2 linked regions of the Coturnix japonica genome follow. The protein of the gene in region 1 purifies or fractionates together with the protein of each later gene. This does not show direct contact. Links are inferred from orthologs where the notes say so. Each region holds a gene or a part of one and is shown on either strand. Other genes may lie near its edges.

Region 1 (6,444 bases):
CTCCCAGGCTCTGCTCACCTCCCTGCAATATATTTTAAAGCCACGAGACCTCCACAGACGAGCATGCAGCAGTGTGCACAATAAAAGACACCCCTGAAAAATCAGCAGAGACACCACAGGCAGAATTGGTCGAGTCATTGGCACAGGGACAAGCAGTACCTCTCACTGCAGAGATAACGGGTGCAGAGCAGTGATTTGCTGACTGTCTGGAGGCACTGCGACCACAGAATGAGGAGATGGAGAGTCATCGGTCAGGCTGAGGTCCTCATGCCCAACAGCAGTGTGGTCAATGAGGAGGTACCACTTCAGCCTGTCTGGAAGAGGTAGAGCCTTGATTTTTACATCTATTGGCCAAGGCCTAAGGCACTGGCGGATGGACACCCTGCAGAGATGTTTCAGTGCCTGTGGGGTGTGCTCCAGCTGCTTCACGGAGCAGAACAGAGTCCTGATCTTTTCCTCGTGGTACCTGCAGCTGTTAACGTCGACCTTAAAGTCACTGGGCAGCTGGATGGTTTGTGAACTGGCCATCATGAGCTCCAGCAGAGTCTGACCCATTTGGATGACCTCTGTAGAGATGCTGCTGTCTTTGAGGATACTGACGTGAGAGCAGAGGCAGTCAAAAACAGTTTGGAAGCCTGACCAGCATGAGGGACCATGGAGGGAACAGTTGTAGGCAGCACCTGACTCCAGCAGGAAACGCAGCAGTGGGAAGTGGCACGTGAAGTTCTGGAGGCAGCGGTAGGTGAAGGACTCGAGGGATGGGCACTCACTGGGGTTGGCACCGTGGGCCATGAGCAGCTGCATGACACGAATGCAGAAACGATTCTGTACCTCGGCCTCTGTGCTGGCCAAGACTATGTCACCCAGTAGGAAGATGATGTAGGTGAAGACAGTGTCTCCATCTTCAGTGGTAGCCCTGGCATCTGCACCTGGAGGAAGGAACAGAAGATAAATGGAGCTGCAAAGAAAGGCAGGACACAATCAGGATGGATTCAGGAGAGGGGGTGTGGATCCTTTAGTACCACCAGGAGGTATGAAACACTGTACTTAAATGCAGCATGCACCTGCACAACCCAGCATGGAGCTGACAGCAAGAGGGCTGACAAACAGTGCTTCTCCCTAGTGGAAAAGTACTTCCAATCCGAGCACCCTGAACAGAGCGCTCTTCTGGACTTTACTCTTACTCGGATGGGAACATAAAGGAGTTGGGAGGGCAGCACCTGGCCTAGAGGGGCTCTGAGTGGAGAAGGGAGCTGTTGTCCTCACCTCCTTCCAGCAGCAGACGGATGCTCTCTGTGTTGTGGATCTGGACGACATCACTGCTGCAATAACAGTGCAACAAGGCGTGCAACAATGCCGTCTTTCCTGCAGTAGGAAAAGACGAATCAGATGAGACAGTGCTCCACCTGGAAACGCTCAGCCCACCAGAACTAAGGAGAAGAATCCATCCCACCAGCCCAATGGCTAAACATGAGGGAAACAGCCCTTCTGCTAGCAGGCTCCCAACATCACTGTGATGGAGCACAGCTGTGGTGGCCCCATAGGGCACATGGGCCATGGCAGAGTGGTTTTCAGAGCACAAACCCCCCCCCCTTCACCCAATTCCATCCTCCATGGGCTGTACAGAGCTGCTTTTAGCCTCCTGCTGCATCTAATGCAGACAAGATACTAGGAGACAGCACAGAGCACCAGGGAGGTTCTACAGCCTGCATTAATTTCCGAAGCAGGCAGAATTAGCAGCAGCAAAGTGAAGGGACACAGATCCCATGCCCTGCTCCAGCCCACCTGCTGGAAGCACCCCACAAACCGGTTTTGTCAGCTGCGTTGACGTCAGCCCCAAGCTGAAGCAGTCTCTGGAGGCATGGCAGCCGCTCAGGCTCCTCGCTGGCCAGATCAAGGGGACTGCTCTCATGGATCTGTACAGGGCGAGAGGAGAATCCACAAGTATTAAGGACTATTTATGAGTACTGCTGGAGAATCACTGATGGCTTCATCATGGCCAACAAGAGAGCATAGAATTCATCCTGTCCCCAAAAACAAGAATGACAGCCCCCTCCCCAGAGTCACTATGTTTAAAGGGAGAGGGTGATATACCCCAGCTTCCTCCCATCACATGCTCCACAGCAGAAAGCAGCTCTGCTTGGCCAAAGGCGGCCTCAGCTTTTGCCATAGCACTGGAGCAGCACAGGCAGCAGCTTGGGAGGCCACTGATGGAAGGCAGTATGCAGCAAGCCCTGGAAGGGGCAGCAGAGAGGGCTGACCCCACACAATGGCCCTGTGCAGCCCCAAGGAAGCTGGAGCATGTTCATGTCCAAGCAGTCAGTTCCATACCCGGTCTCTGCGGTTGATGTCAGCCCCGTGACGCGCCAGGAGCTCCACCATGTCAGGCTGGTTGCGAAGCACTGCAATGTGCAGCGGGGTGTAGTAGGTAACTGGGTCTGAGGACACAAAACACATCAGGGTGGGCACTGAGAATAGCTGTCTATAGAAGCAATCGTTACAGATGCCCCAGGTCCTGTATCTGCAGTGGCTTTGCCTCTGACAAAACCCCCCAAAGATGCCAGCTGGCTCCCATTCTCTGGCCATCCCCCAGTCTGCTCTTATAGAGATATAATAAGAGTATAGACAAGGCACATCTAATCAAATCCAGAGTGGGAGCCTGAAGCCAGAGTTAGCAGCACCCCTCCCTTTCTGTCCCAGTTATCTCTGCCTTGCAGGGCCAGCTTCTCACCAACCAGACCCTCCCAGCCAACCCAAGCAGCAGAGTCAAGCACAGCACCCACCCCACAGCCATACCTTCAAAGCTGAGGTCTGCACCAAACTCCAGCAGTACTTCTGCAGCCTGGACGAGCCCCAGCTCAGTGACCTTCAGCAGGGTATAACTCACACCTTCCTGGTAGAATGGGGAGTGGGCTTCCCTCTGCAAGACTTGTCTCATTGCTGAGAGCTGGCCTCCATTGCTCCCCAGGCAGGTGTGGCTGGATGTGAATGAAAACAACCAGTTACTCACCTGGGCAGTATGTGTTTCCTATGGGTCAAAGCAGGGAGGGGAAAAAGCTTTAGTTTCTCCTATTGCCTTGTAAACTGTTGGCTTATACAGCAGTACCCTTACCCTTATATAAGCAGCCCCTTACCCCCATAGCTCCGCTTACAGCCCAATCAATTACCTTTCCATCTCATCCTTCCCTCCATCGTCCCGCAGTGTCAGCAGCGCCAGGATCTCATCCACCATGGGCTGGTACTCCAGGGTGATCCTACGGAAGCCGTGCAGGAATGGCATCCCCCCGCAGGGCCCTCCGGCATGGCACAGCCTCGGGCCTACACACAGCAACCCGCTAGGCCCAGCCAGGCCTGTTCTCCACACAGCCACCCCCTGCAAGTAAAGACGGATTGCGGGTAGTTTTACATTCAAAACTACATCGCCTCCCTCGCTCCCACCGCCCCCCAAAGCAAAGAACCTCGAGGTGGTTCCGATAGACCTCACCAGGCCGGAACCGGAGCCCGAGAGACGCAGCGCAACCCAGCACCGCACGGCACCGCCGCCGGAAGTGGAAATAGCCGCTGCCTCCGAGGTGGGCGGGGTTTGATTGAGGGCGTGGTCTATAAAGGGGGCGTGGCCTAATGCGCGCTCTGCCGCCAGGGGGCAGCGGGGGAATGGGAGAGGGACGGGAGCGCGCACAGCAGGTGCCGCCCTATACAGCCCCATCCAGGGGGCACCCAAAGGTGCAGCTGCCCCCATTGATCCCACTGTGCCTCCAGTACTGCACCCATAAGGGCTGTGGTGCCCCATACTGCACGCCATAGGCTGGTGGTGCCCCATACTGCCCACCCATAGGGTGTGGTGCCACATTACTGCCACCCATAGGCTGTGGGTGCCCCACATTGCAGCCATAGGATCGTGGGTGCCCCATTGCAGCCATAGGCTGTGGGTGCCCCATATTGCAGCCATTAGGGCTTTGGGTGCCCAGACTGCACCCAAGGGCTGTGGGTTGCCCCATACTGCACCCATAGGGCTGTGGGTGCCCCTACATTTGCAGCCATAGGGCTGTGGCAGGTGCTTAATGTGTACCCAGATTGCAGCCATAGGGCTGTGGGATGCCCCATATGCAGCCCATTAGGTTTGGGTGCCCCATAGATGCCCCATAGATGCTGTGTGCCCCATATCTGCAGCCTAGGGCTGTGGGTGCCCCATATTGCAGCGCATAGGCTGTGGGTGCCCCATATTGCAGCATTAGGGCTGTGGTGCCCTATATTGCCAGCCCATTTAGAGGCTGTGGGCACCCATATATTGCACCCATAGGGCTGTGGGTGCCCCATATTGCAGCCATAGGGCTGTGGGTGCCCCACACTGCAGCCATAGGGCTGTGGGTGCCTCATACTGCAGCCATAGGGCTGTGGGTGCCCCATATTGCAGCCATAGGGCTGTGGGTGCCCCATACTGCACCCATAGGGCTGTGGGTGCCCCATACTGCAGCCATAGGGCTGTGGGTGCCCCATACTGCAGCCATAGGGCTGTGGGTGCCCCACACTGCACCCATATGGCTGTGGGTGCCCCATATTGCACCCATAGGGCTGTGGGTGCCCCATACTGCAGCCATAGGGCTGTGGGTGCCCCATAGTGCAGCCATAGGGCTGTGGGTGCTCCATACTGCACCCATAGGGCTGTGGGTGCCCCATATTGCAGCCATAGGGCTTTGGGTGCCCCATATTGCACCCATAGGGCTGTGGGTGCCCCATAGTGCAGCCATAGGTCTGTGGGTGCTCCATACTGCACCCATAGGGCTGTGGGTGCCCCATATTGCAGCCATAGGGCTTTGGGTGCCCCATACTGCACCCATAGGGCTTTGGGTGCCCCATACTGCACCCATTGGCTGCCAGCTCCCTGGGATGTGGGTTTAGGGGCTGTCAGGGCCATGCACATCCCCATGGTGTTTCTCCCACCCCCAAACCCTCCGTGTTCCCCAGACCTGGCACTGTCACCATCCCCAGCCATGTGGCACCAGGGGGCACCGGGCAGGTCCAGCCCCAGGCACTGTTATGGGAGAAGTTATTTAGATGGCAATGCTGTGAGTGTCCCTGTCGTGTCCCTAATGTGGCCCTATTGCACCCCTGCCATGTCCCCATCACGTTCCTGCTGTGGCTTTTCTATGTCCCTGCAATGATGTCCCTGTAGTGCACCCACCATGCCCCTGCAGTGTCTCCATCACGTCCCATCCATGTCCCTGCTGTGTCCCCATTGTGTGCCCACCACATCCCATTCCTGTCCCTACCACATCCCTGCTGCGTCCCCACCTCATCTTCACCACATCCCATTTGGATCCCCGTTGTGTCCTCCCTTGCATCCCCACCACGTCCCCGCGGTGCCCTCCCCCCCTTTACATGTCACAACCCCCCACATGTTGCCCCCCTCACCCCTATTCCCGTACCCACAGCCCGGTTCCCCATCACTGTGTTGGTGCCCAGCCTCACACCGGGATGGCTGTGCCATTGCTGGCAGCGCCCGGCGGGGCGGCGGGGAGGAATGTGAGCTGCCATCCATCAGGGAGACAGAGCAGCAGCGAGCCGAAGAAAGAGGGGCATTTTAGGAGGAAAGCCAGGGAAATTTGATCATTAAGAAATCCTCCTGGCTGTCTGGGGGAATTTAATTAAATTGCTGGAAAGGGCTGTAAGCACATCTGGATCCAATATGTGCAGCTTTGATTTTTTTTTTTTTGCTTTCTTTCTTTTCTTTTCTTTTTTTTTTGTAGTTCACTCTTTTCCCATCTCGCTGCTGAAGGGTTGTGGGGGTTTGGGGGGGGGGGGAATAAAAGGGAAATAGCAGAGCCACGGAGTATTGGTTCATCTGGGACTGGGATTGCTGGCAGGGAAAGAAAGAGAGAAGGAAGGAGAGAAAGAAGGAGATGGAAAGTGGGGAATTAAGGGTTTGGGGGAGAAACCTTCCCATGGGTTTGGGGTGTGTAATGCCACCAAAGGCACTGCAGCCCCTGCCCCTTGAGATACCCCCATGGTGTGACACTGATCCCCCCATAGGAGGACACAATGGGGCATCACCCCCACGTCTCTCTTTGCGCCTCGATTACATTGAGTTCATCCAGTTTTAAGGTGGGAAAAACGAAGAGGGAAACCCGCCAAGGAGCACAGACAGCATCGCAGTGGGGTCTGTGCTGCTCTGCCCCACAGAGTGGGATTGGAGCCCGTACACTCAGGGTTAGGTGCACTGAACGTGCTTGGCTCAGTTTCCACCCAACACTCTCCGTTGCGCCGGGATCTCCTTTTGCCAGCACCAGTTTGAAGCACTTAAAACACATTTTTCAACACCCCCCCCACACACACACCTCCAAAAAAGAAGCTAAATCCTACCGCTACAAAGGAAATGGCATTAATAGCGACTGTTTGGTTTCAAAAGGGAAGGAAAAGGGAAAAAAAAAAGCCCAACTTTGACCC
Region 2 (5,908 bases), on another chromosome or scaffold:
CTGAGGCCCTGGAGTGTGCTCAGAGAAAGGTAACAAAGCTGGTGAGGTGTCTGCAGCACAAGACTTATGAGGAGTGGTAGGAGGAACTGGGATTGTTTAGTCTGGAGAAGAGGTGGCTCAGGGGAGACCTTACTGCTCCCTACAACTACCTGAAGGGAAGATGTGGTGAGGTGGAGGTTGGCCTCCTTTCCCATCTAACTAGTGACAGGACTAGAGGGAATGGCCTCAAGTTGTGTCAGGGGAGATTCAGGCTGGACGTTAGGAAATACTTCCTCTCCAAGAGAGTGATCAGGCACTGGAATGGGCTGATCAGGGAGGCTATGGATCCACTGACCCTGGAGGTGTTCAAGAAGTGTTAAGGTGTTGTACTGAGGGACATGGTTTAGTGCAACTATCGGTGATAGGATGGTTGGACTAGATGACCTTGGAAGTCTTTTCCAACCTTGGTGATTCTATGGCTCTTCAATACTGTAATTTTTTAATAGCAGATCACTAATTTTGTGATCTAATTCAATTAGGAACATTTGATAGCAGTAAATGTTACTAACGGACAAATAATTTTGTCATACCATACTTGTTTTTAAAGTCAAACTTTGCTGGTACTACGCAATTCATAAGATCTGACTACGTAGACAGAAAGCTGAGCTCTGTGTAGATGAATTACAGCAACATTCAAGTTATGCTAGATTTTATTTTGATCACTAAACTCTTCAGAAAGCTACCAATAAACATATCATTGCTTAATTTCTATGCAAAGTTACTGTTACTATGAAACAACTAGTAGTGACTAGACTATCAAATAGAGAGGACCATCATTCAAATTGGCTACATTTTAAATCTGTAGTGCAACTACCCATACTACTGAGAGGAAGCCATCATTCTAATCATTTGCAATCAGTAGTTCAGTAATGTGCCAAAATTCCAGTTTAAATTCCATCTTTTTCCCTAACTGCTGTTTCTTCCCTAGGGAAGACTGGAAAATATTTTCTTTGGATGGCAAGAAATAGCTTGTACGATAAGCCAGCTTCCTGAGATGAAGGTTATGATGGTAAATATTAAGCACTGCCAACTTAAAGAAGGAAAAAAAGCAACAAAAAACCAACAGTAAATCCCACAGCAAAACCCCCAAATAAGCAAATGAACTCTCCCAAACTGACCACTTCAAATAAAGATAAAACACACCTTCCACTCATACGTTAATATATACCAACGTTTATGGGCAGTGTCCATACAAGCACTATTCTGAAGCGACAGATTCATTACTAAAAAGATTTCTGTGTAGCCACTGCTCTGGAATTTTCTCAGTTTGGATAGGAAAATCAATTCTCAATTGTAATAATTTCTTGATATCTTGAGAGTCCAACTCCGCATGCAGCTATAAATGCACTACAAATAGATATCCATGCACCAAAACCATGGAAAAAAAAACAGGCAACGGCCTACATCACATCCATGAACCTACACGGTGTCAGTGAGATCTCAGAAGTTTTCTGTACACAGTTCCTTAAACTGCAGGGCTCGTCAAACACTTGAAGGTGGAATCAAAACCAGCATGGAAGGAGCAATCCCATCTTTCTCTTGCTGATCCCTGGAGGCATTCAAGGTGAGGCTGGATGGGGCCTCGAGCAGCCTGAGCTAGTGGGTGGCAACTCTGCCTGTGGGTGTTGGAACTGGATGGTCTTTAACATCCCTTCCAACCCAAGCTACTCTATGAATCTTCCCAAATACTGCATCTCCATCATCTGCCTCTACCTTAGCTTAACCAGCAAGAACATATGTACTGCTGCAAATTGGATCAGATCAGGGGACTGACCTGGCAAAACAAATGCTTTTCCATGTAAGTACATGTATGTATGAAGCGAGGAACAAGTGACAGGGTGCTAGGAGAATGGTTAAAATTAAACTGCCTTTAAAATACATGGAAATGTATTCTCTCCATCAGGAGAGAAAAAGCAGTAATTCTTCCTGTTGCTGATATTATCGTTTGAAGCAGCTCCACTTCACCAAGGAAAGAAACAATATGATTGAAAACCTGCAGCCACATTAACGGTGACACAGTATAAAGGTATGCACCACAGTTGCTGTTACTGAGAAGAGCAGCCCTGCTGCTAAATCTGCATCTGACTTTGTACTCCTTGCCCAAAGAAAGCACTATTCCTTATAAGTTAAACAACTGCTAGCTCTTTCAACCAGGTTAAAAGAAACCTCATCTTTAAAACTGTTCCCCCGTAGAAGATCTTCTGAAAAAGGACATGCTTTTCCACAAAATCAACAGTACTAATGCAACAAATAATGCCATGATTTGAAACACACCAAGAAATGCAGTTTTTGGTGAATCATTAGACTAAATACAAAAACTGAGAACTCATGCTGCAGTCAGTAATTTTTATGTTACTTACTGTTTACAATGAACACCAAAGTCTTCTATTTTATTAAGTGGAATAGTTTGGTATTCAGAAGGACCTTCATCCGGAGGTTTGTACCCCTACAATTAAACAAAGAAAGGGCAAAGATGACACAGTACATCTGGGACTGTTAAGGAATGAATAAGCTCTTGAAAAGCATTTCACAAAAATTGTGATTTATGCAAAGAAAACACTTCTGTAAAGAAGATGACATTTCCCCCACTAGCCTGAAATTTGGAATTTTCTTGCATCTCAGGTTTACATTTCGCTTTACTATAAGTCTTTATGTTTGCAGGTCTGTCAAAAAGTGTTAGAAGCGAACAGGGTGCCAAGTTAGGATTGGATCTTTTAATAGATCAAAGTAGTAAAGAGCTTCTAATGCAAGATTTCTTTTCCTATTCTGAGAAGTGATTTTGGTCCTTTTTGGAGGGAAGACAGAAGGTAAGTGAAGTGGGAAGAATCATGTTTGCCCTGCATATGCCCTAGAGAGACATAAAACTTAAGCTACTTATTTGTCTAAAGTGCTGCCCCTCACAGCTATTGACTAGGCAAGATCTGCTTGCAAAATGATCCAAGGACTCCCTTCAAATACCCATCCAATGTGCATTTTCTACACAGGATTTGGTTTCCAGGTGCAGGATTCTTCTCCCTGCTCAAAATATGGCATTTATGAAATGCTTTTGCCAACACAGCTGAATATTCTTCTGAAACACAAATTGTTCAAGGTTGAGCTTGTGCATATTTTTCAGCTCTAAAATAATGTTGAATGTAAACTGGAATGCCCCATAAACATTCTTGCTGATTACAGTTTTACTGAATGACAGATGAATGTTCTTGATAAGTCAATGATAACTGGGAATCAAACTTCCAATTATACTTAAACTGTATTAGATGGAAATAAAAGAGCACAACTGTATGTGTCAGAAGTAGAACCATAAGACTGCATGTGGAGGTCCAGATCTTCAATATTGTGGTGAATCCTTAGTTTTTAGCCTAACCCTTCCATGTTAATTCACCTCTTTTTATGGTTGTTGGGTTGTTTTTTTTTTGAATATTCATAGTGTTTACCTGAAAGAGGTAATTACAGAGTGTTTCAAATGCTCCAATGAAAAGCAGGTTACAACATATGAGAGAAAATCTTACTAGTATGTTAGGTCTAAAAAAATGTTAGAAAAAAATTAAGATAAATACATTAATGAATGACAGGAAAGCTCCCTCCTCTAGAGAGTCTATTTAAGACTGACAAAAATCTATTAAAAACATCCTAGAAGTCAACTTCTCTAAATGTAATCAATATTCACACAATAACAAGTACGGCATCAAGTCATTATGAATGCACAGTGATACAGCGAAGCAGATGCACTAATGTTTAGCACCGATCAATTACTCAAAGAGAGGTTATTGATTACACTACACATAATTTTAAGCTTTTACCTTAGGATATGTCCTAAATGCACCGAGATTTACTTTTCCTGCAGATATTGTTCTTGTTGGATCAATCTGTAAAAAATACAGGTAATGCTTCTTATGTAACATTGAATGAACTATTACAATTAATAGTGATCATAGTTCAGGAACTAATTAGTGCAAATTCTATTTGTTTAGTCATAAACAGTATTTTTTCAGTTGACATCCATTGGCATGTGACTCTATCAATTAAAGATCAATAGCTTTCTAGGGACCATTTTGCAAATCCATTTCATCCCTTTCCCAAATACTTAAAAAGAAATTGCACTTAGAGCAAGCAATGAGCCAGAATAAAAATCTACATTTTAATCTTTCAACACAGCACAGTCCTACTAAAGCTAAGAAAGATATTGTGACCTGCTGTACTTTGGTGGAATAGAGAGAAGAATTGCAGAGGAATCTCCTTGAGAATAAACTTACTGATGTTCTGCCTCATTTTAAAAGAAAGAAAAGAGAAAGGAATAAATGAAAACAGAAAGAAGTCCTAAAGGGAATGTTCTGAATCCATTTAATTGTCATAACATGGGGAAACTCATACAGTAGAAATACTTCTAGGGTGATTTGTCCTTGTCTAATGGAATGCTAACACTACCCATATTCCTTCTTTCTGACTAATTTCAGTCTTTTATCATTTGTTTCCTTCAGCAGCAGTAGTTGCACAAGCTGTACTTAAAGTAAGGTTTCTTTGGATTTAAAATGTGATCTGCAGCTTGAAATGGCCCAAACAATTTCTTCAGATCTTTTCTTCAAAGACTTTCTAGAATCTTCTACCTTAGACCATGTCACTCATTTCAATTAAACAGCACTTCAGGTTCAAAGCAACAGAACTGTGTGAACATAATCTACTCATTCCTTCAGAACAAGCAACAAAAAGAACAAAACCAGATTTCTGCTACACTGCAAGAGGCTGAATATGGATTGTTAATGCATTTTTTGCACAAGTACCAACTTCAAACTAAGAGCAGCATATAGATTTGTACAGCACAGCATCCTCTGGAGCAATGAAGCAAAAATGGTCTCAATGAACAAGACTACCAGTTTGACCAGCACATAACTAGAAATGCAAAAGGAGCGATAATAATTTAAGATTTAGATCTACCACTTCCATCCTGCAAAATACACGTTACTAGGCCATAACATGGACAAAAATCTAGAAGTTATTTCCCTCTCAACACAATTTGCTACGCAGCCATCACACAGTACTTACCACCACTGCTACAAAGGGTTCTTGAAATTGCTGATTAAGCATCTGAGTACTGACATCGATCCCAGAGAGCCAGCAGCCGTAGCCAGGGTGACTGTGGTACCAGCCAATTGCATTTTCTAGACGACCAACCTAACAGCAGTGAAGGAAAACAAATCCAGTGATGATCCTCATTCGTAAAGCATGGGCTGCCCTCTACTGAGCCTTCCAGCACACTACAACGCAGCAAGAGGATAAAAAGAATATACACAGCCTGTATGCTAACTTGAAATATTCAACATGCACTTTATTTTGCTTAACTATAAAAGAAGTTCCCAAATAATACTCCGGGATATCTCAGCAAGTACCCCAAACAAACAAACAAAACCAATCAAAATTGATTGTTAATCACGGTGAATAAACAGCCAGCGCACCTAGTTTATTGTAACTGGCCAAGAACTGTGTACTGGCTGATCAATATTGAGTGAAAGGATTTATGTACATCCTACATGGCAGTGTGTTCAATGCATTCAGCTGCTTGGTTTTGCCAAATACTGAGCATACCAGGAAGGTTAAATCTGGAAACTATTAAGAGGGACAGAACACACGATCTACCCAACTGAACATTTGAGTCGTTGAAACAAATAACATTTTTCTTTTAACTATTTTATCATCAGATCCTGCCTATGGAGGAGCAAGTAATTGCAACATTAGCTTCTGTAGAGCACTTATGCAGAGTGCTCTTATTATCAACATGTAATCTAACATTAAAAAGAGTTACTCCAGGACAAAGTGCTTTCCAACCTCAGATGTGAAGCAGCCAGGACGCACTGTCAGAGCTCCAGTAAAGCTG

The links. Proteins that work in one complex are often made in the same cells at the same time.
Region 2: the proteins of ASB6 (region 1) and COPS5 purify together in Homo sapiens (affinity purification with mass spectrometry; 3 studies listed by BioGRID and IntAct, with this or other methods). This does not show direct contact. The link is inferred for Coturnix japonica from reciprocal best matches to the Homo sapiens genes ASB6 and COPS5.

The regions. Positions count from the first base shown.
Region 1 is NC_029532.1:4,261,357-4,267,800, forward strand, and holds the start of ASB6 (ankyrin repeat and SOCS box protein 6), read right to left. Parts: upstream 3,571-6,444; 5' UTR 3,459-3,570; intron 3,374-3,458; 5' UTR 3,281-3,373; coding exon 3,168-3,280; intron 3,029-3,167; exon of another isoform or gene 2,979-3,028; coding exon 2,797-2,978; intron 2,439-2,796; coding exon 2,332-2,438; intron 1,917-2,331; coding exon 1,808-1,916; intron 1,366-1,807; coding exon 1,267-1,365; intron 930-1,266; coding exon 163-929; 3' UTR 1-162. UniProt on the Homo sapiens protein: Probable substrate-recognition component of a SCF-like ECS (Elongin-Cullin-SOCS-box protein) E3 ubiquitin-protein ligase complex which mediates the ubiquitination and subsequent proteasomal degradation of target proteins.
Region 2 is NC_029517.1:104,431,039-104,436,946, forward strand, and holds part of COPS5 (COP9 signalosome complex subunit 5), read right to left. Parts: intron 5,209-5,908; coding exon 5,080-5,208; intron 3,906-5,079; coding exon 3,840-3,905; intron 2,486-3,839; coding exon 2,400-2,485; intron 1-2,399. UniProt on the Homo sapiens protein: Probable protease subunit of the COP9 signalosome complex (CSN), a complex involved in various cellular and developmental processes.